2 linked regions of the Anolis sagrei genome follow. The protein of the gene in region 1 interacts with the protein of each later gene in a biochemical or structural test. Links are inferred from orthologs where the notes say so. Each region holds a gene or a part of one and is shown on either strand. Other genes may lie near its edges. The genes, in order: TCERG1 and SF1.

Evidence for each region.
Region 2: the proteins of TCERG1 (region 1) and SF1 form a complex in vitro, tested with the Homo sapiens proteins (3 studies listed by BioGRID). The link is inferred for Anolis sagrei from reciprocal best matches to the Homo sapiens genes TCERG1 and SF1.

Annotation. Positions count from the first base shown.
Region 1 is NC_090022.1:97,868,258-97,883,937, forward strand, and holds the start of TCERG1 (transcription elongation regulator 1), read left to right. Parts: upstream 1-5,304; 5' UTR 5,305-5,318; coding exon 5,319-5,431; intron 5,432-5,639; exon of another isoform or gene 5,640-5,713; intron 5,714-9,342; exon of another isoform or gene 9,343-9,434; intron 9,435-9,909; coding exon 9,910-10,135; intron 10,136-11,818; coding exon 11,819-11,971; intron 11,972-12,183; coding exon 12,184-12,433; intron 12,434-14,590; coding exon 14,591-14,833; intron 14,834-15,680. UniProt on the Homo sapiens protein: Transcription factor that binds RNA polymerase II and inhibits the elongation of transcripts from target promoters. Regulates transcription elongation in a TATA box-dependent manner.
Region 2 is NC_090032.1:19,634,408-19,650,087, reverse strand, and holds the start of SF1 (splicing factor 1), read left to right. Parts: upstream 1-6,951; 5' UTR 6,952-7,020; coding exon 7,021-7,513; intron 7,514-8,618; exon of another isoform or gene 8,619-8,695; intron 8,696-10,198; coding exon 10,199-10,327; intron 10,328-15,680. UniProt on the Homo sapiens protein: Necessary for the ATP-dependent first step of spliceosome assembly. Binds to the intron branch point sequence (BPS) 5'-UACUAAC-3' of the pre-mRNA. May act as transcription repressor.

The sequences.
Region 1 (15,680 bases):
TCTATGAATATTTGATGCCAATGGCCATTCTACATACCAACATTGCTGATAAGTTTTTGCCCAGAAGCTAGAGCACAATTATCAGCCATCAGAGTAAGTTAAAAAGAGCACATTCATTAGTAACATCAAAGGAGCAGATTGTGTGTATTTGAAGAAAGGGAGAATATGAAGTGAGATATAGATTCATAGTTTTATTGATTTCATAAATGGACAATTTTGGGAAACAATTCACTAATTCAATATATATTTAACTGTGTTTTTCCTTTCCCTTGCTCCCCTTGCATGATTTCCCTGTATATTCTTCATATGGTCCTATCTTGCCTATCTCAAATATAATATCATCTTACAAATGTTATACTGCCTGCCTAGAGACTGTTCTGAGTCAGGTATATTACTTATCTGAATCAAACAAGGGAAACCATAATTTAGATAGGAAAATACACTTATTTTCAAAAAAGAGATCATTTTACAATAAGTAATCATATATATTACAATGTTACACTTTCTGTGCTAGTATCTACAAGGAAGTTAGTTGAAGAAGCAAGAAAATTGAGTTTATCAACCACAAAGGTTGTTCTAATCCTTTGTACTGGAAAGGTAACTTGGTCTTGAATTGGTTAGACCTAACAGGTTTACACAGTACTTGCTCCTAATGGAGATGAAAACATATGTAACAGCTGCCTGCATTTTTAGTTCCCTGTGAAGGTATTGTTATGCTCTCCTGGCACTGGTCTGTGTGATGTTATGGACTTTTGATGCAGAATGTTATTTAATTAAATATATTAAGGTAATTTGGCTGTGCATGCATTTTGTAATGAAGTAAGGAGCTGTAGGGAGGGGTGAGAGAATTGAATATTGGCAGTGAATAGTGGGGGGATTTCAATAAGGTTGGTGGACAACAGTTGATATAGTCATTTAGAGTTGTCAGGGTAGTTAGGTAGGAGGCAGAAAGGTGTGAATGAAGTGGGAATCACAATTAATAGAGTCAGTCAGTCATAGTTAGGAATTAATGTGTTTAAGAGTCTTAATTAGCTAGAAGTGGAGAGTGAGAATGTGAAATGTTTTAAGTGTTTTAAATAATTAATCTGCTTTGTTGTTTTCAACTTCTCTTAATAAAGTATAGCTTTTGTCTTTATGCACTTTTGGCCTCCGGGAATGCAATATATTAAGCTTGGATTAAAACAAAACGATTGGCAGCAATGAATAAAGAGGAGTGATGCCTAGTGTCCAGAAGTTGCATAATATCTCACACGGATATCTTGAGAGTATCTAGAATCTCCTCACAGTTGGAGGCCACAGATGTGGAACAGGAAGAGGTCCCTAAATTGATGGCTGAGGTGGGAACAAGTAAAAGCCATCATTCTTGATAGTCACAACTTACAAGCAGTTTGTGGAAGTCTCTGTGTTGGTGGCAAGTCTCATATCTGGTGGAAGCAGTGAGTTAAATGGTAAATCTGTAAAAGGATAACCACATATTTCACCTAGGAAAACCAACCCTTTATCCATTAAAGGGAAAACCCTCACAGGCTGCACTTCAAAATTTATCAGTGGATTACTGTGTTTGATATCACCTAAAATAGAACTGAGCAGTCTTGACTGCAATCTAGTCTTTTTCTGTGCAGTAATTAAAAAAACCTATGAACTAACCAATGGTAGATGAGAGGAAAAGAGATCAAGGGATGGGACCTTCGTCTTCACCCAAATACCAGTTAGACTCTTCCTAAGTGGTAGATGAGTAGCAAGACCAAACTAAATCTGCTTAAATCATCAGGCCGGCCAAAATTTGTATTAAAGCTATCCAATGGAAGAACTTAGCACTGATGTATGGTAGGAAAACGTGAGATTTCCTGGATGTTCTTTCAGTTCAGTTTTCAAAGCATTCCCCCAGAGGAGAGGCAGAAACAAATATTGGACTTTCTTGCATGATTCCTTGATAATATTGTTGTAAGAACCTGGGAAAACTCACAGCAACCCTATGTAAGAGTTCTTTCCATCTTCTAAAGTTGTTGAAGGGGGTCTCCTAGTGGCTGAAAAGAGGAGTTAAAGTAACACATGCAAATTATTTAGGGGGGCTTAAGTGAGTATAGTTGTAATCTTCATTACAGCAGACTCTGGAATATAGTTGATGTATCAATGATAAGAACTCAAAGCATGTAAAATGTTTTTTATTAAGTAACATGAAGTACATACGCACCAACAACATGCTAGCTGCGGGATTTTTCTTTGTAACTACTGCTCTCCCTTAATATCCAGCAACAGCAAGCAGACTTAAGAACAGCTTAAACAGATCTCACTTCCATTTGTCAGGCAGTTTCTTATCTTCTTCCTCCAGTCACATTTGTAATGTAAGGCTAAAGTGATATTCTTTCCTCTTAACTCTTGTTCATCGGATCCCAAAGAACGAAAAAGTAGGATTGATGTTTGTTAGAAAGCCAAAGCCCTTATTGTAAACACAGGTTTCCGAGCCCTTGGTCTTCACTGAGGTCATCTAGATACAAAACAGTTATGGCTGTGTATCTTTCTAACACAAATATTTCTGTATTTAGTAAAACATTTGCAGAAGCAGCATCATTAAATTAGAATTAACAGCATTCATTTTAATTAACTGCTGGTCTATGAAACCTCTTACAGAACACTGCCAATATCTATATCTGTCAGCTGGATTCTCAGTAACATGCTCATCACAGTATTAATGGAATTGGTTAACACACTTGTCATGGCTATTTGCAGGTGACAGCTGTTTTTGCCCCTCACCTCCAACAATAACTCAATTTTCCAAGTTTTATGTAGAAATCAAAACATGAGACAAAATTAACAGCTACTATTCTGTCCATTAATTTTGTAAGCAACCATACTTTTGCAAACTTCAGTCTTGTTTTTTTTTTCCAGAGCACACAACCCCACAGTGTAAGCCATAATGTTTTTTTTTCTGTTCCCTGGTTTGTTGACTCTTTGTAGGGAAATGTAGGGGTGATGTTATGACATAACAACAGTATTATTTATTAACGAACAGAGGGGTCATTAAATGGAGTGAAATAAACCAGTGAAAGAACTGAGCATCTTATCTGAAAATAAAAGGACTTGTCCTTGTTCTAGGGACACAAAATCAATTCCTAGGGGCCCTTCCACACAGAATATTCTATATCCCAGAATATAAAGGCAGAAAATCCCACAATATCTGCTTTGAGCTGGGTTATCTGAGTGTATACTCAGATAATGTGAGATTTTTCTGCCTTGATATTCTGGGATACAGGGTTGTGTGGAAGGGCCCATTGAAAAATCACAGAGAAACAAGCTAGAAAAGGGTTCTCAGCCACCTACTTATCTTGGCAGACCTGGTGCCTTGTCTGCAAATGTTATAGATCTGTGTCCATGAGGGCTTTTTTCATGTGTGAATTTAATATCTCCAAGAGAACATTTGTACAATTCAAAATTTAAGTAACCAGAGTTCTTTTATGATGGCTATATAAAATGTTCAATGTGAAAAATAAAGAAAATGTTCCAGGATCAGATCCTTTAAAATTCAAAAGAATAGAACAACATGCTGAAGCCATCACCTTGCACTGCTGAGCCAGGCATGGCTTTGGCATGGCACCATATTTATCTTTCCTTTAAAGTAACTTCCCTAGATCTATAATGGGCAGTTAAAATGCTACAGCCAGTTGCTGAACTGAGTTCTGAGAGCTGTAGTGCAACCATAAAAAAAACCCTTTCCAGGCACCTGTGCTGTTAGCTTAGAATGGTGGTTCCCAACTTTTTTTTTTTTTTGACCAGGGACCACGCTCCAACATTAGTACCAAAAGGGTTATGAATCAGATTTTGGTCAACTTTAGATTTGGTTTGGTTATTTGGGGTGCTGTTTCAGAAAATTGTATTGGAGAGAACACATCAGCTCTAGTTTCTGATAAAGAACATATATCATCTGCTCACCCACAGAAAACCATATTTAATAATCTAGAGCTGATGAGGTAGTAGTAATCTTTTGTGAGTAGTCAGCCCTCCTGATATCCCAGTTACCTCAGCACTATAAGAGGGTTTTGCGAGACCAGTTGCTCTCAATGCAATGGTGTAGTAACGGTAAGACCGTGGACCACTGGTGGTCCACAGATCACAAGTTGGGAACCATTGGCTTAGAACCGTGATGGTGAACCTATGACATGTGTGTCAGCACTGACACACATGGCTATTTTTGATGACACACACATTCAGAGAAGTACACCTTATAAGAGCCAATCTAATTCCATCCTTAAATTTGTAAAAGGCTCTACAAATTTAACATCTGCATGTTTGACCATTGTTCACTCCATAACTCAGCATGGAATATACATTTTTCTTATTTAAACTATAAATACTGCAAAATTATGTTTTTCTCTCTCGAAGTGACACCCCACCCAAGTTATGCTCAGGTTTTTGGCAAATTTTGACACACCAAGTGCAAAAGGTGGCTTAGAAGTACTAATCCCCCTAAAGTTTAGGAGAACACACACCTATGTTGTGCAGTCCATCCTCCCAAATGGGAAGTCTTTCCTTTCATAAGGATAAAACGGAACCTGCAGCACCTCTGAGATTACCTGAGAAAATTTCTAGCATAATCTTTAGAGGATCCCAGTCCCACTTCATCAGATGCCAACAAGGTCTGGAGACTACAAAAGCTCAGGGGAGAAATGCCCCTTTTCAGTCTCAAAGGTGCTGCAGCTACAGGATACCTTTCTATATGTTTATACTGAAACAGATCTAACACTACATGTCTTTGAATGTACCCCTCCTTAGATATGAGCTTTTTAGTTTAAATCCCTCAAATAATGTTAAGTTGGACGATTAAGGGTATGCGTGCCAAGTATTATGGCTTCACATGAAGCGAGTTTCGAGTCAGAGCGGGCCTGGACTTCTCCAACCAGAGCCGTGGTCAAAATCCTCCCTTTTTCCATACATTTCATTCTGCGGGCAGCCCTCGTTTCAAAATGATTTATCTAACAATAGACTCCGAAAGGTAGGATTCACACAACGTGTCGCGCCTCTACCACTTTCCTGCCTCTAGCTATCGCCTGGCGCACGCTTGTCTTTGAACACCATTTCCGGGTCACAGTTCACGTGACGTGCCGCTGAAGGAGGCCGCGAGAGGGCGCTTCTTGATAGCCTTTGAGCCAAAACCCTCCAGTCCCGACTCGCTTTCCTCCCCTCATTCAAAATCGGCGGCGGAGGCAGCCAATCAGGGAGAGGCGAGCCCCTGACGTCCCGTGATTGACGGGAGAGGCGGCCAGTGGCGAGGAGGGAACCGTAGCGAGGGTGGGCGTGTGCGGCGGCAGTGTCGGCTGGTGATGGCGGAAAGAGGAGGTGGTGGTGGAGGAGGAGGAGGCAGTGGCGGCGGCGGAGGGCCTGGCGGCGGAGAAGGCGACGCTGCCGCAGCGGAGCGCTACAATAATGAGATTAGGTAAGGCGGAGGAGGGGCGGGGAGGTGGAGGAGGAGCACGCGCTGCCAGGAGCACGAGGCCTTTTGTGAGCGAGCGGGCGGGCGGGCCAGCGCGCGCGCGCCAAGAGAGGGAGCGCGAGCGGCCTCAGGCTGTGACCTCAGCGCTCTCTCTCTCTCTTTCTCTTTCTCCTTCTGCGCGCGGGGTCCCCCTTGTCTCGCGCGCGCCCTCTTCCCTTAGCGCTCGAGGCGGAAGTGGCCGTTTAGTCAGTCTCCCCTCTCGCCTTCATTGCCAGCTCTGGCCCGGTGAGCCTCGCCCGTTAACTGGCGCCTCCTGCCCGTTCTCAGGCCTTTATCCTCGCGCGGTGGCTACCCTTGATAGCCACAGTGTTTATTTTTTTTTCCCGTGGAGTGTTCCCCCCCCCCACGAGAGCGTGGGGGGGGGGCTACTCTCTCGTACGCGGTGACGTCTCAGGCCGGGGTGGGGGCTGGCGGCGAGGGGCTTCCGTTAGGAAAGCGGGAAGGAGGAAGTCCTCCCGCTGTCCTCCAGTTCAAAGGCCCGGTCTGGAACCACGTCGACTGTAGAATTCATGGAGTTCGACACTACCTTGCACCTCACCTCCCTAGAGAATGAATCTCCTTGAAATCCGGTTGCTGCCTCTTGCAGAATCCTGAGGTTTGTGCTTTAGGGAGAAGCCCTTAACGGCCTCACTAAACTACACACTCCAGAACTCTGCAGATGGCAGAAACCGGATTTAAAGTGGATTTATTCTCTAGTTTGAGAGAATTTTAACTGCCATGGCTCGATGCTATTGAGTCCTGAGAGTTGTAGTTTGGTGAGGTACCAGCACTCTTTAGCAGAGGAGGCCCAAGCTCTTGTAAGAGTACAACTTTCATGATTCCAAAGTATTGAGCCAGGGCAGTTAAACTAGTGTCGAGCTGCAGTAATTCGATAGTATAGATTTTTTTTTAGCTACTATTTTATCACGCTAGAGAAAAAAATTGGCAAAAGTATGATAGCTGGGACCCACTGCTGGTTGCACATCGCGGGTCAGAATTCAAGAAGCCAAGACATAACGTATTTGAATATGTTTGCATACTATATCCAGATAGCCTTAAGCACTATACTTGGCTGTTGGTCCCCCTCCCCCTTTCTGGTGAGCTATCTTGCCACAACTTTGCTGCACCTGCATCTCTCACTGCACTGTCACAGCATTGGGTCCCAGCTATTATACTTTTTGCCAAAAAATCCACTTAAAATCCAGTTTCTGCCTCCTGCAGAATTCTGGGGTTTGTAGTTTAGGGAGGAGCATTTAACAGCCTCACTAAACCACAAACCCCAGAATTCTGCAGGAGGCAGAAACCAGATTTTAAGTGGATTTTTTTCTCTAGTGTGATGAAGCATCAGGTGCATCCCTTGAGAGGGTTTGTGGGCTAAGAGCAATTTTCATGCTCATAAAATGCTCTGAACCAACAAACTAATCCTGAGAGGCAACCTCCCCCGCCCCCCATCTGAATCCTTCCAGATGTGTTGGACTACAGCTGCTGTCATTCCCAGCCCTTATCTTCCTGGCTGTTGTGATGGCACTTATGGTTCAGGCATAGTTGGAAGAGCTAGGCAGGAAGACTGCTGTATTAAACCATGTGTGACAAGATACCCTTAAAAATTCACTGAGTGTAAATATTGGTTTCAATTAAAGTAAGTGCATTAAAAATTAAAAAGTCATTCAGGGATGCTTGTACATAGCATCTCCCCGAATGTAGAAAACAGTTCACTTCACAACTTATTTCATTGATTGAAATAAACAGTCCAGCTAAAAAATGTTTGTACATAACAATTGCACAAGGAGACCTTTCCATGTTGGAAATGCCAAACACCATGTGTGATGTTAGGATATCCCCGTGTTCTACTGTGTTTCTACATGTGTGGTAGAAAGCTGTGTTAATGTACAGCAGTGTATGAATGCAGATGAGCTATGCATAATTGATATGCATACAATGTGATGTGTTAGTTTTGCCCATTTCTAGTCATGGAAATATAGTGATTGACCCTGACAAGAACTTTTACTAAAATAATCTTCCATGCTGCTTAATGCTACTTTATAGCAAAGTTGGATGGAAAGTGAGCTCTTCTACTTATTACTGTGCACTTGCAAGATACCACAATACTATGTATAGTGTTACACGTGCAAGGCTATACAAGGCAATTGATGTTTTCACATGACATGACAGGTCAGGGATCTTTGACAACTCTATCTTCTCATGAATGAACAGCATGCTGCTTGCAGTGAGGATGACTTTTTGTGCTGTCTAGCAACATGGAGCTTCTCTTTCCTGTTTTCCCTCCCACTAAACCAGAAAAAGACATCAAGGACAAATATTTGATCCTTCCTTGTTTATTTGAATTGAATCAATTTTAAATGAATATCGATGTCCAATCCTAGAGAGCCCACTGCCCAATTGAGTTAGTTTATCCACTTCTATTGCAAATTATCTGTTTCCACAGATCACTTGTGGTCATGTTGTGTTGATGTATCCTGTAAGTCATTCTAATGAAAAAGGAATTACCCAGAGTCTGATGGTGAAGGTAGTGAAAAGCACTGCATCTTTGTCTACAGTTGACAAGAAAATGCATCTTGTATCATCAGGCTCTCAGATTTTTTTTTAAAAAAAACCTTTAAAATATGCTTTATGACCAGTAAACAAGACTAGGCTATGCAAATGGAATAGGCCATGTACTGTAGTCCCACATCTTTCTGTTGTCCAAAACAGAAGTGATTACAGCAGCTAGGATTTACAAGTCTTGTAGTAATAATCCCTAAATTGCTGCCAGCTTCTCCTTTTTCATGTACCAGACCTTATGGAGTGACAAATATTTAATGACTTGTGGGCACTTGGGGGGGATGAGGAAGCTCTGTCCCACACCAGAACACTGTGTACCTTTTGACAAGTTGTTTGTGCCTGAAAAGCAAGCATGAACTGAATTGAAAGAACCAAATGATCTCAATACATTTGCTTCATTGGTCGTCTTCTAATAGAAAATGGTAAAATTAAAGGTCAAGTGAAACTTGAATTGCACAACAATATCTGTTGGACAGATTGCCAAAATAAATAAATAAAGCCTTGTGATGTTCAAACTAATATGTTGCTTCACTTGGCTGACACTTTCAAGCAGCCGGTTCTTCCATTTAGAACCAATGTCCTTTTTTGTTAAAGCAGCCAAGACTTCTTCTTTTCACTTATAAATGCGTCCATTTAAAGGAGGTCCAATGAACACCTTTTTTTGCAAATGTGGCGGGAATATAAATCTCTAAGCAGAGAATCTTCAAATAAGACTTAACAAGGACGGGGGGGGGGGGGGGGGGGGCTATTGAAAAATTACATTTCCCATCTACCATCTGAATGTGTCATTGGAATCATAAAAAGTGAGAAGAAAACAAACCAAAATCAGTTCTGAGTCTACTTATTGGCTATCAGTTTTGTGATTTACAGTAGCCTTGTACATAATGTCCTACAGACATGACAAAAGAAGATCCTTTTGACATGTCATAGAGCACTTTTTTTAAGGCACATGATTGTTCTCAAATAATAAAATGAGTATATACTCTATTAACTATGCACATATAGCTATTTAGAATAGATAAGAGCAATATGTAGAAAGGAACCCAACCTTGTTTATATTTTGAAAAAAAATAATTGAAATATTTACATATGTAGATATGTTGATACAGTGATCAGGTGTAGATAGAAACATTTCAGTTGGTACAGACCCCACAAGGTGTTATATGTTTACAGTTCATATATATTGCAGTAGAATTTTGATATACCATAATGGTATGCAGTTTCTAAATGAGAAGGTGTTTAAATAATGAGTGTTGAATTATATATTTGTTGTCGTTCGCCACCTTATAACCTTTGTTTTTTTCAATTTTGAGTCATCATGCCAACATTGGTATTGCACTGGCACTAAATGGTGGGCAAAATTGTTTTCCTGAGAGCATCAGAAGAGCGTTTGTTGGTTACAAAGGTGAACTTTTTATATATATATATATATTCTAAGTTACTTCTTTAGAGGGCTGGGTGGTACAGTGGGGTCAGTGTACTCTAATATGACTTTAGGGTACAAATGAAAGGATGTTGATGGCTTTGTTCAAGTGAGTTGTGGGCACCCATTCACATTATGACACGTTTGGTTGCCTTCTTGTTTGCTATCAGTAGAAAATGATTTAGATGCCATGGGTATATAGGAGCAGTGTGGGTATCACATCTCATGTTGGAGGTGCTTTATAGTTAGGCCTATGGGAGGGAAGCTTTCACAGTGCCTTTCCATTCTAAGGAATTGCGGACAATTTAAATATTGCGGACATAGCCTCCCAAGAAGTTTGAACCCTAGCATTGTTTGAACTTATGTCACAAAGCTCTGATTCACTTATCGCACCAGCACCCTTTTGGTATGCAGAAAGCTTGAACATAAAACTGTTTCTTTTTTACTTTGCTTGCAGGATGGCTCAACAGCAAGCACTGAGATTTCGCGGTCCAGCTCCTCCACCAAACACTGTCATGAGAGGGCCACCGCCTCTTATGCGTCCACCTCCACCTTTTGGTATGATGCGAGGTCCACCACCACCACCAAGGCCACCCTTTGGACGTCCCCCATTTGATCCAAATATGCCTCCAATGCCACCTCCAGGAGGAATTCCTCCACCCATGGGACCTCCACATCTCCAGGTAAGAATATGCATGAAGTGTAATCCCCTTTCTTGTTTTGTCCAAGGCCTAATGTGGAATGTATGATTCGCAGTGACTACTAAGGAAACTACAGTTACAGGTAAGCAACTTATAATTCTTGTTTTGTCCAAGGCCTAATGTGGAATTTTCTCTGTCTTCCCATTTCCAATTGTCATTTTTTTCTTTAACATTGTTAAAGAACCTCTTTCCACAGCTTTGCTGTTTATGTTTCATGTGTGCTTTCCTTGGTTATCTATTTACTATCTGATTGGCTTTGACATGAGTTGCCTTCCACCATATTTCCTTCATTCTATTTATCTTTAAATTTTAACTTAAATGGGTATTTCTTGTAGTTTTTCATGTCTCAAAATCAAGGATGGGGACTAGATGTATTCACCTCTGGGAAAAGACATTTACTTTTATAATCTGCCCACCCATGCTTCATTTTTCTGACAGAAAGCTGCACTGCTTCTGTTTTTTCAACTGTTTGGGGGTTTTCTGCAATGTCTTTTCCCATTACTTTTTTTGAAGTCTTTGAGAGATCATTTTGCAGGAAGTTAATCTTTTACTTCCTTCCTGAAAGTTTTATTGTAACACAGTTTTTTTGATTCAATTGACATTTAAAATGCTTATAAATCTCAGATATTAAAGATCTCTGCCAGTGGTAAAGGGGTGATAGATTTACAATAATCCTATTGGGATGAGGTTATTTTTTTCATAGTAAACGTTAAGGAGTTTTTTAAAATTGCATCATTGTGTAATGCCATCAATATTGTCCTCATACATGGCAGGGTGATGTTGAGAGTAGGCAAAGGCTTTCCCTGATCTTTTTGTTAAATGTTTTAATACAATTTAGGATTTTGCTGTGTAATGTATTGTCTGACGTCTTGTGCTTTTTTTATGCTGGGGTATGTAATTTTTACTCTTTCAGATGTTTTAGGTTGTGTTGTGTTAAGTTTATTTTGCTTTTACTTGACTTCATTTTGTGTTTTATTTAGGGAGGTTTATTAAATTTGCAGATAACCTAATGTATAAGCAGAATAAAAATATTGTAACTTCCTATCATTGGAATATATACATGGAGATTTTCTATCCTTTGAACTCTACCATTAGTAGATTGATTTTTTGTTACATGTGATAGATTTTTTGCAATAATCATGAATGTAATACTTTTATGTATGCCAAATGGGAAGGTTAATATGAGAGATTACAACAAAATTTTCTATGGGATCTTCCTTTGACTTTGTCCTGAACTCAAGTATTCTTAAAATAATCAGCTTGAATTAACATCTTCCCCTGCCCCTCCCCCCCCCCCCCCCCCCAAATTGCTAATATCTTTTCTTTTACTACAGATCACTTCTGAGAGCTGCTCAAAATGCTTAGCTTACAGCTATACTGCCCAGGGACCAATGCAAATTTACAGCACATCAGTTAAAAGAGCACATAAAACCGATGCATCTTAAAATCAGTCAATACAGACTTAAAAAAAATACCTAGATGTGTGTGCCAAAATGATTTGTGGCACCCCATACTTCTTTCTCTAAGGACCATTTCTGTTCATTTTATATTAACTTCAGTTTTTACAGTTATTTTACAATATATGCTGTTTCCTCTTAATTATGGAGGTATTGTGGAGTGGAATACATAATGTAATCTTTTACTTACTTTTGTTTATTTTTATAGAGACCCCCTTTCATGCCTCCTCCTATGGGAAATATGCCACCTCCTCCTGGCATGATGTTTCCTCCAGGAATGCCACCAGTCTCTGCACCTGGAACTCCAGCAATGCCACCTACAGAAGAGATATGGGTAGAAAATAAAACTCCAGATGGAAAGGTCAGATTTATTCTTAGTAATAATTACAGTTATTCTGTCATTTTTACAATTCATGCTATGTTAATAGAATTTAGTAACCTGGTTGGTTCAGGTGGTTGAATAATCTGCCTATGTTTATTCATTAGATAGATTAATTTGGTATTGTGATGTTCAAACATGAATTAAAATATTAGGTCAATTGTGTAGCCTAAAATTATGTCCTCTCTTTCAAGGTTTATTACTATAATGCACGAACACGTGAATCAGCATGGACCAAACCTGATGGAGTGAAAGTTATTCAGCAGTCTGAACTGACACCAATACTGGCTGCACAAGCCCAGGCACAGGCTCAAGCTGTAGGTGCTTCCACAACTACTACCAGTAGCCCTGCATCAGCAGTATCTCCCTCTGCCTCCTCAAATAGTCAGTCCTCTACAACCTCTACTACTACTACTGCAACATCTGTTTCACAAACAGTTTCCAGTGAGTAAATTTTGTAGGACATAGGAAGGGATGGGAAATACATTTTATCTGGGGAAACATGCTAGTGTGTCACTTACAACATTCACCGTAAGACCTTTTGACACATGTCAGTTGATGCTATTCTCCATCCCCTCCCTATTTCTCTTCATCTGATCCATTCTGTGCATATGTGGAAAAAAGAGAGGGTCACATTTATAAACTGTTCTCAAGATCTGATCTATTATGTGAATGTTGTTTTCTGTGTTGACTACCATGTGGAGGGCCCAAGTGAAAAAATACATTTGAGTTAAAAAATACTTTGAAACCCATATATTCTGCTGTTTCAGGAGGAAAAAAACAACACCTTATTGAAAAGTAACTCACTTATCAAGCATGAGTCTTGAGTGCCTTTAGGATTTTCCTGATTTTCCCTCTTGAGATCATTACTTTGTATCTGTGGTGAGCACTTCTTATCATGCCCTTCCACACAGTCATATAATCCAGAATATCAAGGCAAAATGACCCACAATATCTGCATTGAAGTGGAATGTCAGAGTCCACACTGCTATATATCCCAGTTCAGAGCTGATAATGTAGGATTTTATTCAGTTGTATGGAAGGGGCCTTAGTCAAGTTTTTCTTTTGCCAACAGGAAGAGAAAAACTTATTTTGTTGCAATTTAGGCAGATAAGAAAATCTTTACTGACTGATTTAATCTGAGGTACTTTGTAACCCAAACAACAATTCCATTGTATATCAGGGTGGAAAAATGCCCCATGTTGGTACAGAATCAAGGTTTTCCCATAACATCCAAACAGAGCCAGAAAATGTATTGTCTTTCATGGCCGGAATCACTAGGTTGTTGTAGGTTTTTCAGGCTGTATGGCCATGTTCTAGAAGCATTCTCTCCTGATGTTTCGCCTGCATGGGTGGCAGTCATCCTCTGAGGATGTCTGCCACAGATGCAGGTGAAACGTCAGGAGAGAATGCTTCTAGAACATGGCCATACAGCCGGAAAAACCTACAACAACCCAGAGCCAGAAAACTTTTGGAGACTGCATGTTTGTTTTGAGTAAGTGTCAGCCTTGTATTTTGCAAAGAAGGAAAGAAAAGAAATCATAATTGTTGTATTAAAAAATACTACTATTTTAATTGTGGCAGGTAGTTGAAGCTCAACAGAGTTTACAATTCTTGAGAGTAGTAAATGTTACAGTAAATACCTTGTAGGTCTAGTTGTTTTTGAATTCTGCAATAAAATATGACTGGAAACTAACGTTTGTTTGGAGAAGGATCAAAGTAAACGACACTGAAAAGCAAATATAATTATTAGGTTGTCTTGCATTTCATATACAAGGTAATAGGTACCGTTAACGCCTTAAATCTCAGGCTGTAGAATTCTTTATTAAATACTAATGCCACTTGGAGGTGCTATAGCATCCTAAACAGCTTTTGGTGCCTGGATTCAAGGGATACAATTTTGAACAGAGTAGAAGTGCTATGAGTATATAGATATTGTACTGTTTACATTATGTTTTTAATTGTTGTGTTACAGCATGTACATTCAAGTTAGCCAAAAGCATAAGGGGTTTTTTTTTTGGGGGGGGGGGGGGTAATTTTCTTAGTTGTGCAAGTTAGTAATGCATCGTAAACTGACCATACTTGCTGTTTGATGAATCAACAGAAAACTTCTGCCACTGATCTGGAGGTTTGTTAGGTGCATTATGTGGAAAATATGAAGGTGAAATAAAATGATAAATCTGTCCTTTGAAGAAAGCTGAAAAATCTCAGTATCAGCTCTTTTCAGAAATGTACTTTACATAGCCTCTTGAGGTGAGTGTGTGTGTGAATGAAGTAAATGTTCAGAGCTGCAGAGATTGTTTCATGACTTGTTCTTCACAATAGAAGCCCCCTTTAAAGGAAGCTATAATAATAGAGCACATTGAAGACCCCAAATCAATATTTGTAAAACGCTTTTCTTCTGAAGGAGATCCCTGCTGAAGTAAAATATTATGCGCATTTAAGTTACATCTCTGAAAATTATATAGATGTATCTTTCTTAATTCATCTGAGATTATGCCCAGTTTTGCATCAGTGTACATGGAAAGATTGGTGAGTCCTATTAAGTGTACTGCATATGCTACATGATCCATAGTTTCAGATATCTGTTTTCTTTATCAGCACCTACAACACAAGACCAGGCCCCTAACTCAGCTGTTTCAGTCGCCACACCTTCCGTCAGCGTTTCAACCTCTGCTCCTTCTGCTACGCCTGTGCAAACCATCCCACAGCCCGGCCCACAGACATTGCCTCCTGCCGTTCCTCATGCAGTACCTCAGCCAACAGCAGCAATTCCTGCTTTCCCACCAGTAATGGTACCTCCGTTTCGTGTCCCCCTTCCTGGCATGCCTATTCCACTACCAGGTAAATTGGGAAGTCGTTGCTTTTCTTGTCAGCCCCATGTTCATGTTGTCAATTTGTTTGCACTCATGTGTCCACTGTGTATGAAATTTGCCTGAATCTCTTCATTGAAAATATATATTCTTCAACAAAAGTGGAGTTGTTAGACCAACCTTTCAAAACCACAATTTCCAATACTTCTTATTGGAAATAAGCCACATCCATGTAAAATAGTATTTTGGCATGAGCAGAATACATCTTTTGCTTCAACAAACACAATTTATTGGTTTTGCAGTTTAGTTGGAAGAAATTCATCTTGTCTCTGGTATTAGCTTATCCTGTCATCCTTTTCATACTTAGCTTGACAGTAAGCCCCATGGAACCAAGTGCATAGGATTGTGTTATAAAAGGCCTTGCTCTTCAAATTCAGTAATATCTGGTAGAACTAGACTCCACCCTTGAAATAAAATAAGATGTAAACAGGTTTGCATTAAGGTTGGGGAACCTGTCATTTACTAAATAATGCTGGCTTTCTATTCCCATCGTCTTATCCATGGATATACTAGGTGAGGGAAGTGTAGTCCAACAAAACCTTGGAGATCCACTGGTGCTCCAGCCCTGTTGTATGGCAGATTAACTGACTAGTTTTCTGTAGAAACCCTTATTGTTGGTTAAAAAGCAAGTTTAGATCATGGAAAAAAATTCTGTTTAAGCATGAGAAGCATTTAACATTATACACAAACAAATGCTTTCTTCTTAAGCACAAGGTTCTTTGGATGTCAGCTGTTATTTCAGTTTAATGTTGCTTGTAAAAAAAAGATGCAAAATACATAGGTTTTTAAAAAGCGGTCACTTTTAGAATGTTAACATA
Region 2 (15,680 bases), on another chromosome or scaffold:
CCAGTTCCCTAAGCCGCTCCTCATAGGGCTTGTTCTCCAGACCCTTGATCATTTGAGTCGCCCTCCTCTGGACACATTCCAGCTTGTCAATATCTCTCTTGAATTGTGATGCATAGAATTGGACACAATATTCCAGATGTGGTCTAACCAAAGCAGAATAGAGGGGTAGCATGACTTCCTTAGATCTAGACACTATGCTCCTATTGATGCAGGCCAAAATCCCATTGGCTTTTTTTGCCGCCACATCACATTGTTGGCTCATGTTTAACTTGTTGTCCACGAGGACTCCAAGATCTTTTTCACACGTACTGCTCTCGAGCCAGGCATTGTCCCCCATTTTGTATCTTTGCATTTCATTTTTCCTGCCAAAGTGGAGTATCTTGCATTTGTCCCTGTTGAACTTCATTTTGTTAGTTTTGGCCAATCATTTCTCTAATCTGTCATGATCCCTTTGAATCCTGCTCCTGTCCTCTGGACTATTGGCTCTCCCTCCCAATTTGGTGTCGTTTGCAAACTTGATGATCCTGCCTTCTCGCCCTTCATCTAAGTCATTAATAAAGATGTTGAACAGGACCGGGCCCAGGACGGAGCCCTGCGGCACTCCCTCAGGGATATATTTTCCTTTATGGACCTTCCTGTGAGTAATATGAACTATGGACACTGGGGGAAGGTAGTTGGGTTTACTCTGTGTTATGACTTCTTTATTTTCATATTTTCTCCTGTATTTCTATATTTCCCCTCATGTTTTCTGACCTTGCCCTGAACCTTTTGCCCCCTTCCCCTCTCCTTGGGGGAAATCTACAAGGAAGCTGCCCTGCCTCTGGAAAAGCAATCAGCAATCATGAAAAGACCCTTCTCTTTGTCTTGTGGGGTTCCTCAGGGTTCAATACTGTCGCCCATATGATTAAAATGGAGAGATCATCCGGAGTTTCGGGGTGCGGTGTCATCTGTACGCAGATGATGTCCAGCTCTGTCACTCCTTCCCACCTGCTACTAAGGAGGCTGTCGAGGTCCTGAACCGGTGCTTGGCCGCTGTAACGGTCTGGATGAGGGCGAACAAATTGAAACTGAATCCAGACAAGACAGAGGTCCTCCTGGTCAGTTGCAAGGCCAAACAGGGCATAGGGTTACAGCCTGTGTTGGACGGGGTCGCACTCCCCCTGAAGACGCAGGTTCGCAGCCTGGGAGTGACCCTGGACTCATCGCTGAGCCTGGAACCTCAGGTTTCGGCGGTGACCAGGGGAGCATTTGCACAGCTAAAGCTTGTGCGCCAGCTGCGCCCGTACCTTGGGAAGTCTGACTTGGCCACGGTAGTCCACACTCTCATCACATCCCGCCTAGACTACTGCAACGCTCTCTACGTGGGGCTGCCCTTGAAGACGGCCCGGAAGCTTCAATTAGTCCAACGTGCGGCAGCCATGATTCTAACAGGAGCGGAGCGCAGGGAGCACACAACCCCCGTTGCGCCAGCTCCATTGGCTGCCGATTTGCTACCGGGCTCAATTCAAGGTGTTGGCATTGGCCTATAAAGCCCTAAACCAGTGGTTCTCAACCTGGGGGTCGTTTGGCCATTTCGGAGGGGTCATGAGGCCACCTCCTTTGGCCCCGCCCCCCAAAGTTTTGGCCCCCGTCCCTCAAGGCTTTGGACAAGCCCAGGCCTCATGCAAAGCCTTCCTTGCCTGCCTCGCAATCTCAAAAATAATTTTATGGTTGGGGGTCACCACAACCCAAGGAACCATATTTAGGGGTCACAGTGTTAGAAAGGTTGAGAACCACTGCCCTAAACGGTTCCGGCCCAAGATACCTTTCCGACCGCATCTCTGCCTATGAACCCACCAGGACTTTGAGATCTTCCGGGGAGGCCCTGCTCTCGATCCCGCCGGCTTCTCAAGCACGGTTGGCGGGGACGAGAGATAGGGCCTTCTCGGTGGTGGCTCCTCGGCTGTGGAACGCCCTTCCTACAGACATTAAGTTGGCGCCATCTCTCATGGCATTCCGAAGAAAGTTGAAGACCTGGTTGTTTGTGCAGGCGTTTGAGTAATTGAGTGCAATCTGGTAATGGAACATAGGAATGGAACAATGGACGACGAACCTGGACTACGCTTGGATGAGGAGAAGATTGGGTACGGTTGTTTTTTGTAATAATTGTGCATTGTAATGGCTTATTGGTAATTTATGGATAATGTGTTAAGTCAATTGTTATATGTTGTATGGAACCACTGCTGTTCTACTGTTTTTACTGTTTGTGAACTGCTGTGAGTCACCTTCGGGCTTGAGATACAGCGGTATATAAGCAAAGTAAATAATAATAATAATAATAATAATAATATCTTTGGACAATCTTTGCATGGACAATAGTAAAGGAAATCCTTTTGATTTGTTGGGCCATCTTAAGGGTTCCTGTCCGGCAGACTTTTTAATCATATAACAGTGGGGGGAATATGACCTTAGGAAAGCCCTCTTTTCCTCCAAGCCGTTTTTCTTTCAAATCTTTCCACTAAGGACATTCACAAAAGTTTCCCCTTTGTGCCCTATCTGATTGTAAGAGGAAAACCTTGATTAAGTCATCATAACTTATCACTGACCCATCTCAGGACAATAAAGTTAGTTTCCTTAGAAGGCTGATTCTGGACTCAAGAAGCCCCAGGACATTGGAATTCCATAATCCACTCAAGAAAGCATTGTTTCTTCTTGTCCCGCCTCCCTTCCTCCTGATTTGCTAGAGTGCCGAGGCGGTAGAAGCTTTCTGATTGGCTCATACGCAGCTAATCACCTACCAACAAACGATTCCCCCAGGCAGTAAGAAGTCATGCCTTGAAAACTGCTAGGCCATTAAATGCTAATCAAGGTGGCCAATTGAAACATTCACACCTACGTCCAACAGACAAGTTCTTTCACCCACCCTGGACATCATTCCACAGAGATATAAACCCCATCTTCCTCGTTTCCAACAAACCTCACAACCTCATAACCATAATACAACAATATGATTTATTTATTTGTCGTGTCAGAACAACCAGTCTAACAGAACAAAGCAAACAAACAGAAAAATACACAACTTGTGAGTTTGGTAGCTGGTTAAATGTCCTTTGACCAGTTTCTGGCCCCTTGGAGTGCCTCTGGTGTTGCCGCAAGAAGGTCCTCCATTGTGCATGTGGCAGGGCTCAGGTTGCATTGCAGCAGGTGGTCAGTGGTTTGCTCCTCTCCACACTCGCATGTCGTGGATTCGACTTTGTAGCCCCATTTCTGAAGGTTGGCTCTGCATCTCATGGTGCCAGAGCGCAGTCTGTTCAGCGCCTTCCAGGTCGCCCAGTCTTCTGTGTGCCCAGGAGGGAGTCTCTCATTTGGTATCAGCAATTGGTTGAGGTGCTGGGTTTGAGCCTGCCACTTTTGGACTCTTGCTTGCTGAGGTGTTCCAGCGAGTGTCTCTGTAGATCTTAGAAAACTATGTCTAGATTTAAGTCGTTGACGTGCTGGCTGATACCCAAATAGGGGATGAGCTGGAGATGTCTCTGCCTTGGTCCTTTCACTATTGGCTGCCACTTCCCGGCGGATGTCAGGTGGTGCAATACTGGCTAAGCAGTGTAATTTCTCCAGTGGTGTGGGGCGCAGACACCCCGTGATAATGCGGCATGTCTCATTAAGAGCCACATCCACTGTTTTAGCGTGGTGAGATGTGCTCCACACTGGGCATGCATACTCAGCAGCAGAGTAGCATAGCGCAAGGGCAGATGTCTTCACTGTGTCTGGTTGTGAACCCCAGGTTGTGCCAGTCAGCTTTCGTATGATATTGTTTCTAGCACCCACCTTTTGCTTGATGTTCAGGCAGTGCTTCTTGTAGGTCAGAGCACGGTCCAGAGTGACTCCTCCCATGTATTTGGGTGCGCTGCAATGCTCCAGTGGGATTCCTTCCCAGGTAATAATCCTCAGAGCTCGGGATGCTTGTCTGTTCTTGAGATGAAGGGCACATGTCTGTGTTTTAGATGGATTAGGGATCAGCTGGTTTTCCCTGAAATAGGCAGTAAGAGCACCTAGAGCTTCGGAGAGCTTCTGTTCTACCATCTCAAAGCTGTGTTGAGGCCTCGGCCTTTGTAAGCCGCATCGAGTCATGCGGGAGATGCTAGCGGGGTACAAATAAAGTTAATAATAATAATAATAATAATAATAATTTTCCTCGTTTCCAACAAACCTCACAACCTCATAACCATAATACAACAATATGATATAATAATGTAATAATAATATTATATTATAATAGAAATATTATATAATATATTATTATATGATATAATATTGCATACTAATATAATAATTGTTAATATTATATAATTTATCATAATTCTATATACAATTATTATAATATAGTATAATAATTTAAAAATAATAATATTACATATATATATAGTATAATAATATCATACTATAGTAATTATAACCATAATGTAATAATATAATATAGTATAATAATGTTAATATAATACATATTATTATATAGTGATATAATATAATATTGTATAATACTATAATAATTATTAATATTATATAATTTATTATAATTCTATATATAATTATTATAATATAGTATAATAATTTAAAAATAATAATGTCACATATATAAAGTATAATAATATCATACTATAGTAATTATAGCCATAATGTAATAATATAATATAGTATAATAATGTTAATATAATAATATAATATATATTATTATATGATATAATATAATATTGTATAATAATGTAATAATTGTTAATATTATATACTTTATTATAATTCTATAATTATTATAATATAGTATAATAATGTTAATATAATAATATAATATATATTATTATATAGTGATATAATATAATATTGTATAATAATATAATAATTGTTAATATTTTATAATTTATTATAACTCTATATATAATTATTATATGTATATTGATTTAATAATAATAATGTCATATATATAAAGTATAATATCATACTATAGTAATTATAACCATAATGTAATAATATAATATAGTATAATAATGTTAATATAATAATATAATATATATATTATATAGTGATGTAATATCATATTGTATAATAATATAATTGTTAATATTATATAATTTATTATAATTCTATATATAATTATTATAATATAGTATAATAATTTAAAAATAATAATGTCACATATATAAAGTGTAATAATATCATACTATAGTAATTATAATCATAATGTAATAATATAATAATATAGTATATTAATGTAGTAATGAGGATGCCTGCAGTACTATTTTTTTCCCTTTTTGGCCCAAGCGGGATTCGAACTCGCGACCTCCTGATTCATTTGCAACACCAGGCTTAGGCCCTAACTCCCGCCAGCCTCGTGGATGGAAGAAAACGTGGGCCAATCAAATGCCTCCTTATTTCCCTCTGCGGCGCTACTTTATTTCACCGTCCAATGGTAGCCCGAGCTTCCACTGACGTCACTTATCTCTATGGGACTCGTGGCAGAAAAGTCCCTCAGGAAGCGGGCCATGTGGCAGCGAGGAGGGAAAGTCCTGAAAGCAATTGAGCTTCACCAATCACAGCGTTAGATTCCCCTAGATCCCGCCTTCCAAAATGGACGCGGTATGCTCCCGCCTACTAAGGCCTAAGTATCAAATCAGCGCGCGGGACACCTTGAAAGACAGAGGACGTGAAGGCTGTGTCTGGCTAATGACGGTTGATGGACGCGGCTGTTGACCAATTGGCGTCCATTAGGCGCTAGCTAGAGGAGGGAACCAATCACAGCGGTGCAGCCAATCAAAGCGGTAGATATTTGACAGACGCGGCTCTTGCCCAATCGGCGGAGTGAAGGACTGCTTTGGCGGCCATTAGACGCCGTGATAGATAGAGGAGGAACCAATCACAGCGGTGCAGCCAATCAGAGCGGTGCAGATTTGATAAACGCGGCTCTTGCCCAATCGGCGGAGAGGAGGACTGCTTTGGCGGCCATTAGACGCTGTGATAGATAGAGGCGGGACCAATCACAGCGGTGCAGCCAATCACAGCGGTGTACATTTGATAGACGTGGCTCTTGCCCAATCGGTTGAGTGAAGGACTGCTTTGGCGGCCATTAGACGCCTTGATAGATAGAGGAGGAACCAATCACAGCGGTAGAGATTTGATAGACGTGGCTCTTGACCAATCGGTGGAGTGAAGGATGTCTTTGGCGGCTATTAGACGCTGTGTTAGATAGAGGCGGAACCAATCACAGCAATGCAGCCAATCAAAGCGGTAGAGATTTGATAGACGCGGCTGTTGCCCAATCGGCGGAGTGGAGGACGGCTTTGGCGGCCATTAGACGCCGTGATAGATAGAGGCGGAACCAATCACAGCGGTGCAGCCAATCAAAGCGGTAGAGATTTGATAGACGCGGCTGTTGCCCAATCGGCGGAGTGGAGGCGTGCTTTGGCGGCCATTAGGCGGGCAGGGCTACCTTGAGAGATAGAGGAGGAAACCAATCAGAGTGGTGGAGGTTTGATAGACGCGGCTCTTGCCCAATCGGAGTGAAGGACTGTATTGGCGGCCATTAGACGCCTTGTTAGTTAGAGGAGGAACCAATCACAGCCGTGCAGCCAATGACAGCGGAAGAGATTTGATAGACGTGGCTCTTGCCCAATCGGCGGAGTGAAGAACGGCTCAGGCGGCCATTAGGCGCGCAAAAGTACCTTGATAGATAGAGGAGGGAACCAATCTCAGCGGTGCAGCCAATCACAGCGGTGCGAACTTGATAGACGCGGCTCTTGCCCAATCGGTGGAGTGAAGGATGTCTTTGGCGACCATTAGGCGCACAAAAGTACCTTGATAGATAGAGGAGGGACCCAATCTCAGCGGTGCAGCCAATCAAAGCTTTAGAGATTTGACAGACTCGGTTCTTGCCCAATCGGCGCAGTGACGGACGGCTGCCTCAGCCAATCGGCGCGCGCGGTCTTTGTGAGGCGAGCCTTTGGCGTGGAAGCTTCGCGAACGGGCCTGGGACGCCATTAAGCGCCGTCGATGGCGACCGGAGCGAACGCGACGCCTCTGGGGAAGCTCCATCCGCCGCCGCCGCCGCCTCCTCCGCCGGGGAAAGCCGGCTACCCGCTCCCTCCGCCGGGCCTCGTGATGCAGGGGCCTCCTCCTCCTCCGCCGCCCGCGCAGGCCCAGCCCCAGCCGGCCATCCCCAGCCTCATGGCGGCCGCCGCGGCCTTCCCTTTCGCCGCGCTCCCGCCGCCGCCTCCTCCGCCGCCTCCACCACCTCCTCCTCCGCCTCAGCAACCCCAGCCTCCGCCTCAGCAACCTCCACCTCCTCCGCCGCCTCAGCAAGGGCAGCAGGCGCCTCAGCAGGCCCAGTACGCCCAGTACCGCTTCCCCTCGCCTCCCCCGCCGCCTCAGGCCGCGCTAGGCCTCGAGCAGCAGCAACAGCAGGCTCAGGCCGTGGCGGCCCAGCAGCACCTCCACCTCCACCTCCAGCAGCAGCAGGACGAGGGCGGCCAGGCCGGGAGCCAAGGCAAGTCCGCCTATCTCGCGCTCAGCCCAAGTATGTACCGTGGCTGCTTTGCCTTCCTCTGGGTAGGCCGGGCAAGGGACACCCCGCTTGGGTTGGACTCCTCGCAGCCTCAGGCCCCTTCCTTAAGCAACTGAGGGGAGAAAAGAAGGGGCCTGAGGACAATTGGCACACAAGAATTTATTTATTTACTTCATTTACTTTGTTTGTATACAGCTCTTCTCAGCCCTTCGGCGACTCAGAGCGGTTAACAACAAACAACAGCAAAAATTCAAGGCTAGCATCATACAAACCATTTAAAAACAATTAACACAATGGGTTGTTGTAGGCTTTTTCGGGCTGTATGGCCATGGTCTAGAGCAGTGGTTCTCAACCTGGGGTCCCCAGATGTTTTTGGCCTACAACTCCCAGAAATCCCAGTCAGTTTACCAGCTGTTAGGATTTCTGGGAGTTGTAGGCCAAAAACATCTCAGGACCCCAGGTTGAGAACCACTGGTCTAGAGGCATTCTCTCCTGACGTTTCGCCTGCATCTCTGTATATATATATATATATATATATATATATATATACATATCTATATCTAGAATGACTGGGGTGGGGCAAAGGACTCTTCTCTGCTGGAGCTAGGTGTGAATGTATTGTTATTATTATTATTATTATTTGATGCACTTATTGACCGCCATTCTCAGCCCATAAGGGCGACTCATGGCGGTGTACAGTACACATAAAAGACAATTACAAAAAGCCAGTTTCGACAACATATAGACTATACAACAACTACAAACTACACTAAAAATCCGCTTCGTCTCTTAGTGGAATCATAGCCAGTCTCATTCCAGTTCCGTTCCAGTTCTCATAACCGTATTATTAGCACTTAATTAAATGCCCTCTCGAAAAGCCATGTCTTAAGGCTTTTTCGAAAGGACATGAGGGAAGGCGCCTGTCTGATGTGTGCAGGGAGAGTGTTCCACAGCCGGGGGGCCACCACCGAGAAGGCCCTCTCCCTCGTCCCCGCCAGCCGTGCCTGTGAGGCAGGCGGGACCGAGAGAAGGGCCTCCCCAGACGATCTCAAGGTCCTCGTGGGCTCGTAGGCTTTCATGGCCTCCACCTCCAGCAGCAGCAGCAGGACGAGGGCGGGCAGGCCGGGAGCCAAGGCAAGTCCGCCTATCTCGCGCTCAGCCCAAGTATGTACCGTGGCTGCTTTGCCTTCCTCTGGGTAGGCCGGGCAGGGGACACCCCGCTTGGGTTGGATTCCTAACAGCCTCAGGACCCTTCCTTAAGCAGGTGAGGGGGAAAGGAAGGGGCCTCAGGCCAGTGGGCCCACAATAATAATAATAATAATAATAATAATAATAATAATAACTTTTTTATCGTGTCATCAGCAGCCATACCATTGTGTTACAATTCTAACGGAACAAAACAAACACACAGATTAAAAAGAAAAAAAACACACACAGATTTTGCAAATTTGGTATTCGGTTAAATGTCCTTTGACCAGTATCTGGCCCCTTGGAGTGCCTCTGGGGTTGCCGCAAGAAGGTCCTCCATTGTGCATGTGGCAGGGCTCAGGGTGCATTGCAGCAGGTGGTCAGTGGTTTGCTCTTCTCCACACTCACATGCCGAGGATTCCACCCTGTAGTCCCATTTCTTGAGGTTGGCTCTGCATCTCGTGGTGCCAGAGCGCAGTCTGTTCAGCACCTTCCAAGTCGCCCCGTCTTCTGTGTGCCCAGGGGGGAGTCTCTCATCTGGTATCACCCACGGATTGAGGTGCTGGGTTTGAGCCTTTCACTTTTGGACTCTTGCTTGCTGAGGTGTTCCAGCCAGTGTCTCTGTAGATCTTAGAAAACTATTTCTAGATTTAAGTTCTTGACGTGCTGGCTGATACCCAAACAGAGGATGAGCTGGAGATGCCCCTGCCTTGGTCCTTTCACTATTGGCTGCTACTTCCCGGCGGATGTCAGGTTAATGTAATACAAAATAATAATAACAGAATAAAACAATGGAAATGTAATAATAGAGTAAAATAATGGAAATGTAATAATAACAATAAATAGAGTAAAATAATAGTAAGTAAGCTTTATTATGGTTGATGACCAGATCATAATGTAATAAAATAATAGAGTAAAATAATGTAAATGCAATAATACTAATAATAATAATAGAGTAAAATAATAAATCTAATAATAGTAGAGTAAAAGAATAAATGTAATAACAATAATAAATAGAGAAAAATAATAAATGTAATAAAATAATAATAGAGTAAAATAATGTGAATGTAATAATAGAGTAAGATAATAAATGTAATAAAAATAATACTAATAACAGAGTAAAATAATAAATAACTTTGATTCTAGTATAAGCCGAGGGGAGCTTTTTCAGCCTAAAAAAGGGACTGCAAAACTAGGCTTATACTCGAGTATATACAGTTAGTTGTCTGGGTTTTTGAAGTTTGGTAACAGTATTATGTGGATGACACCTGACGTTATTCCTTTTTTCCTCCCTTGGTTTTGTGAAATAGTTTTCCAGATCACATGTGGTAGCTTGTTAATGGAGAATTGGGGTAGAATGTGTTTGAGTGAGTATAAAAAGAGTTTATGATGGGAAAACTAATTTTGACGAGACACAAACATAGCCTGAATCTTGCCTGCATGGGACTGGTATTATAATTAGGTATAATGTGTTTGCAGATTATCCTAATAAAAAAAGAAAGAGGAGCAGATGGAACCAGGACACCATGGACCAGAAGACTGTCATCCCTGGCATGCCCACAGTCATCCCTCCTGGGCTTACCCGTGAACAAGAGAGAGCTTATATAGGTAAATACTTGTTCTGTTCTTTCATGTTTTCGTGCCAGTACCGATCCAGAAAGTGTTTTTAGCTGTGGTGTGCATTCAAGATTTTCAGTGTTTGCTTTCAAAGGCTTGGGTTATGGTGGTCTTGTTTTCATTACCATATGTATATATAATATAGACTCTTTTCTCAGTGAATAATTGTGTTCCATCCCACCCCTCTGTCGCGTTTGATTGAAACAGTGTCCTCCACAGGCATATTAGAAACTGAAGTCCTTAGAAAGGGTGGGAGATTTAACATTTTCTGATATTTAGTCAATTGGCCATGGAAACTAATCATCCAGATCTCTTATAAGCATCACAGACTTCTTGCTAGTGGAGAACACTAAGAGTCCTCTTTGAAGCTATATTGTTTGGAAGCAAGCACCTCTTTCACACTGGAATATTGTAATCTAACCATGGTTCCCTTCTCACCTTTTGTACCTTACTATGCTAATTATGCAAAGTTAACGTTGAGCCTTCAAGATAGTGAAGATTGTTTGTACCACTTAGCAGAAGGGAACGTTTCTTAACCTCTGGGTTGCGTGTTTATTTTGTGGGGTTTTTTAATATCATGAAATACTTGGGGATTGGGTTGTATTAGCATGGTGGGAGCGATATTCATTTGCTGGGAAAGGAATTTGGGAATACCGCTTGATTCTGAGAAGATTGAGAAGTGTTACATACTATTATCCTGCATTTGGGAATGAACAGAAATTGTATTTGCAATAGAATGCAAAGTGTGTATGTGTATTTGTGTGAAATCCTCCTAGGACGCTCTGATGTTTCATTATCAGCTGCAAATGTCCCTTATGGTCTGTTCATCTCACTGATGTTACAAAAGAAGACAATTACTCCTTTCTTGTGCATAAATCACTTGAGAAGTTTGATATGTAACCTTCAACTGTTCAGAGTTAATACTGAGAGCTACTTTTCTGCTCTAAAGCCTCATGAACTGGCTTACTTTCAAAATTAACAAAATAGGTTTTTTTACAGTGCAGAATAGTCTGCCTCAGTGTCAGGCAAAGTTTCAGTATAGGAAAACTGGAAGGCACATTGGAAAAGCTGATCTTGTTATGTTATGCTCTGCACTTCATTCCACAAGAGGTAGTTTTCCTTACTGTCAACATAGGGTTGGTTTTGTTCAGCTTTTACCTGGCCATGAGTCTTAAGCCTTTGCAGAAAACAGCTATTTTGATATATTTCATTGATAGAAGCTGGGTAATGGAGCTAATGGGGCACCAAAATAATTGGCTTGAAAAAAGTATATTGAAGAAACAGTTCCTAATGTCGAATCATTGGAATTATGAATACATTTCTGTAATTATTTAAATAAATCTGATTATACCTGTTGATCAGTTTTATCAGAACCATGTCTACAAATCACTGTATATACTCGAATATAAGCCTAGTTTTTCAGCCCCTTTTTAAGGCTGAAAAAGTTCCCCGCTGCTTATACTTGAGCCAAGGTTATTTATTATTAGTATTATTTTTATTACGTTTATTTACTGTATTTATTATTACATTTACATTATATTATTATATTATTATTATTTTTATTACATTTACTTACTTGATTTATTATTACATTTACATTATTTTACTCTTATTATTTTTATTACATTTATTTACTCTATTTATTCTTACGTTTACATTATTTTACCCTATTATTTTATTACATTTATTTACTTTATTATTATAGTTACATTATTTTTACATTTATTATTTCCCCTATTTATTATTATTATTGTTATTATTACATTTCCATTATTTTTACATGTATTATTTTACTCTATTATTACATTTACATTATTTTACTCTATTATTTTATTACATTTATTTACTCTATTATTACATTTACATTATAATACATTTCCCCTATTTATTATTGCTATTATTACATTTCCATTATTTTACTCTATTATTATTTTATTATTTTACTCTCTTTATCATTACTGGAAGAATAGGTAAGCACATTTACATAGAAGGAAGTTAAAATGGTGGTTTAATCGGAGTTGGACAGTCTTATCTTAAATTACAGTTTTAAGTAAATATTTTATTTATTTATTCATTCATTTATTTATTTAGAACTTTTATATACCGGTCTTCTTGACTTCCAGAGAGGGACTCAGGCCGGTTTACAACAAAGATTCATAAACAATAGTTTAAAACATCACATCCCAATATTCCAAAACTTTTAGCCTACTGATGCCTCAATTAATGTAATTTTATTGGTATCTATTTTTATTTTGAAGTTGACTCGCAGCTGCTGCATTTCCCACCCTCTGCTTATAGTCGAGTCAATACGTTTTCCCAGTTTTTTGTGGTAAAATTAGGTACCCCGGCTTATCTTCGGATTGGCTTGTATTCAAGTATATACGGTAATAGATTTGGGTCAGAATTCTCATTCTGTGCAAAGATACGAGTGCTTCACTTGCTGTACTAACTGGTGTTGCAACCCACAGCTGAACGGGATAAATAGCGAAAGGGTAGAGGTATGACACACAGAGTACCAAAGGACTCCATAGCAAAAGTGCATGCATATCGTAATTGGGATTTGTGAAAGAGGGACTACCAAATACATCTGAAAATAGTTATGAACATTAAGATAAACGATCTTAATCCCAGCAAATAATTGATCTGCTGAAATATTTCAAAATACAGAATAGTATTGGAAAGAATAGAGTCAATCCCGACCATACAACATTGTCCAATTCTCTAGAACGTCAATGAATAATCACGTGTTTTGAGATTTTGAACCAATGTGGATGTGCGTTGATGCAATGCCTGAAAACGATCAATGGTGTGAATATTTGTTTAGAAATCCATTAGTTCGATCAGTCTGTTTGGTGTAAAACGTTAAAACACATTAATGAAATGTATTGTCTGTTTGAGATATTTAGAATACTCTGTCCCTGAGAAATACTGTTTTTCAGTTTTGTAAGATTCTGTCTTGTCAAACTGAGAAACTAATGCTTTTTTTTTGTATTGTTAACATTTACAGTCCCACTTCTAAAATCTTGAATGCAGCCTGTGAAATGGGAAATAAATCAGTTTAAAGCAAGTAAAGAAAACAGTGCAGGATGCTCAGGCTATATCTTCTGATCAAAACATGCTATATGAATCCCTGAGCTTTATTTGAGGTTTCAAAGTGTTCCTCAAGCTCCCTAAATTCCAACTTGGAGGCCCACTTTCTGGTTTTCTTTGACCATACATTGGGCATTCTGCCTCTTCCCTGGTCCCTCAAAGAAGCTGGAAAAGTGCAGTGAAGGCGCTGTGGTTTTGTACTGTCTTTTTTTTCAAAAGACAAGGCCCAGTTTCATGTCTCAGCCTTGCTACACTTCATTCACCGCTGCCTGGCCTCCCTCACAGCACTGTCGTTCTGTGAGGGTTTCATTAAAAGGCCTCTCAGATGCCTAAATATAATACTATGTGGACTTGTGTGATCCAGTCGGGTTAGGTTTTTGATCAAGCAGAAGTGATACTGGTTTCTTGTACTTCTTGTTTATTTATTTATTATTGATGTACTGTATTTGTATACCACCTTTCTCAGCCAGTCGGTGACTCAAGGCGGTTTCCAACAAATCAGTATACATAAAAACGTAATATAAATTAAAACAGTATAAAACACCACAAGAGCAATAAAACAACATCATTAGCATCTCATTATTATCAAGCTTAGTCCAGTTCCATTGTCAAGTCATTCGATTTCCTATATTAGCTACTCTGCATTTGTAAACGCTTGCTCGAACAGCCATGTTTTTACTTGCCTCTGAAACGTTAAGAGTGAGGGAGCAGATCTGATCTCCTGTATCAACAACCATATCGAATTTGGTTGGCATACCCGATCTCATTAGCCAAGGAGCCACCACTGAGAAGGCCCTGTCTCTCGTCCCCGCCAAACGTACTCGTGATGAAGGCGGGACCGAGAGCAGGGCCTCCCCAGACGATCTTAAAGTCCTCAGTGAAATGGAGAGAACTTTCCTCCTTTTCTTGCATAAGGAAGGCATTTCTCTTCATTGAACTTTGAATCACACAGAACTGTGAATGGTCTTTTATGTGGAATAAGTGACCTCTTCCCCAAGTTAATGGAGAGAAGTAGGGTACTGGAGATGCATGATACTATCCAAATGTATTCTCCCCTGTGAACCATCAAGGGCGTTAAGATCTTCCGGAGAGGCTCTGCTCTTGGTCCCACCACCTTCGCAAGCACGCTTGGTGGGAACGCGAGACAGGGCTTTCTCTGTGGTGGCCCCTCGGCTATGGAACTCTTTCCCAAACGAGATTAGATCTGCCCCCTCCCTCTTGTCCTTCAGGAGGCTAGTGAAATCCTGGTTATGGAATGAAGCATTCCCAGAATAATGGCTGAGACTATTTACAGACCAAAGTGAGTGACCACATATGCGGACTGAGTTGAACATCGTTTTACCTTGGCAGTTTGGTATATATGTATTTTATCTATATGTATTTTAATCTTGTATTTTTGTATGATGTTTTAACTTGTATTAGTAGCATTGAATCCTTGCTGTAAGCCGGTCTGTGTCCCTCTACGGAGGTGAGAAGATCGGGATATAAAAGTTTTAAATAAATAAATAAAAATAAATACTTGCCCAAGTGAATAGATTTATCAGGACCCAGCTTCCTTCCTATATTTTATGCATGGTTAATCTTTCATGAATATGGAAGTGGGTGTACCTTTGCTCCAAGTGATTTGGGTTGTCACCCGCAAACCATATTCTCCAGAGTGGCCTGCCAGATGTCCGTGGGACTTGGAACAAAAGCCGCCTCTGGGCAAGGGGCTTAAGGCCTGCATCCCAAACCAGCTGCTGTTCTGTGCCCAATGCTCTCCGCTAGCTAATTATCTTGAACTCATTGGATGAACTAGAGTCAAAATGTTATATTTTGAGTTTAAAAACCAACGGCTAATGCTTGACATCTGTTAGTACTGCATTTGGGAATACTGGGTGTGTATGCATAATTGAATAGAAGACATAAAGGTTTTGCATAATGATATATTTTAGCAAAGGGTCACATTATATACGTAGAAGTGTGCTCTGTTAGTTAACAAAGAATGCGAACTCCTGCTAAACTGGTATGAAATGTGTTTCAAAATTGGGCCTGTACAGCCTTGATATTGCAACGAAATCAAAGTCAGTGGTGTCCTCTCTTCCTATAGAAAGTCAGATGGTTACCTTTCAATGTCCTGACAGCCAGCCTCCCTTAACACTCCTATGAATGTTTTGCTTACTGATCAATAACTATTTTTGAAGACTTGCTAGAGTTAAGGAGGGTCTTTTCTGGATTCCTGTTGAATGCATTTGACTGACATAACGTTGTAGGA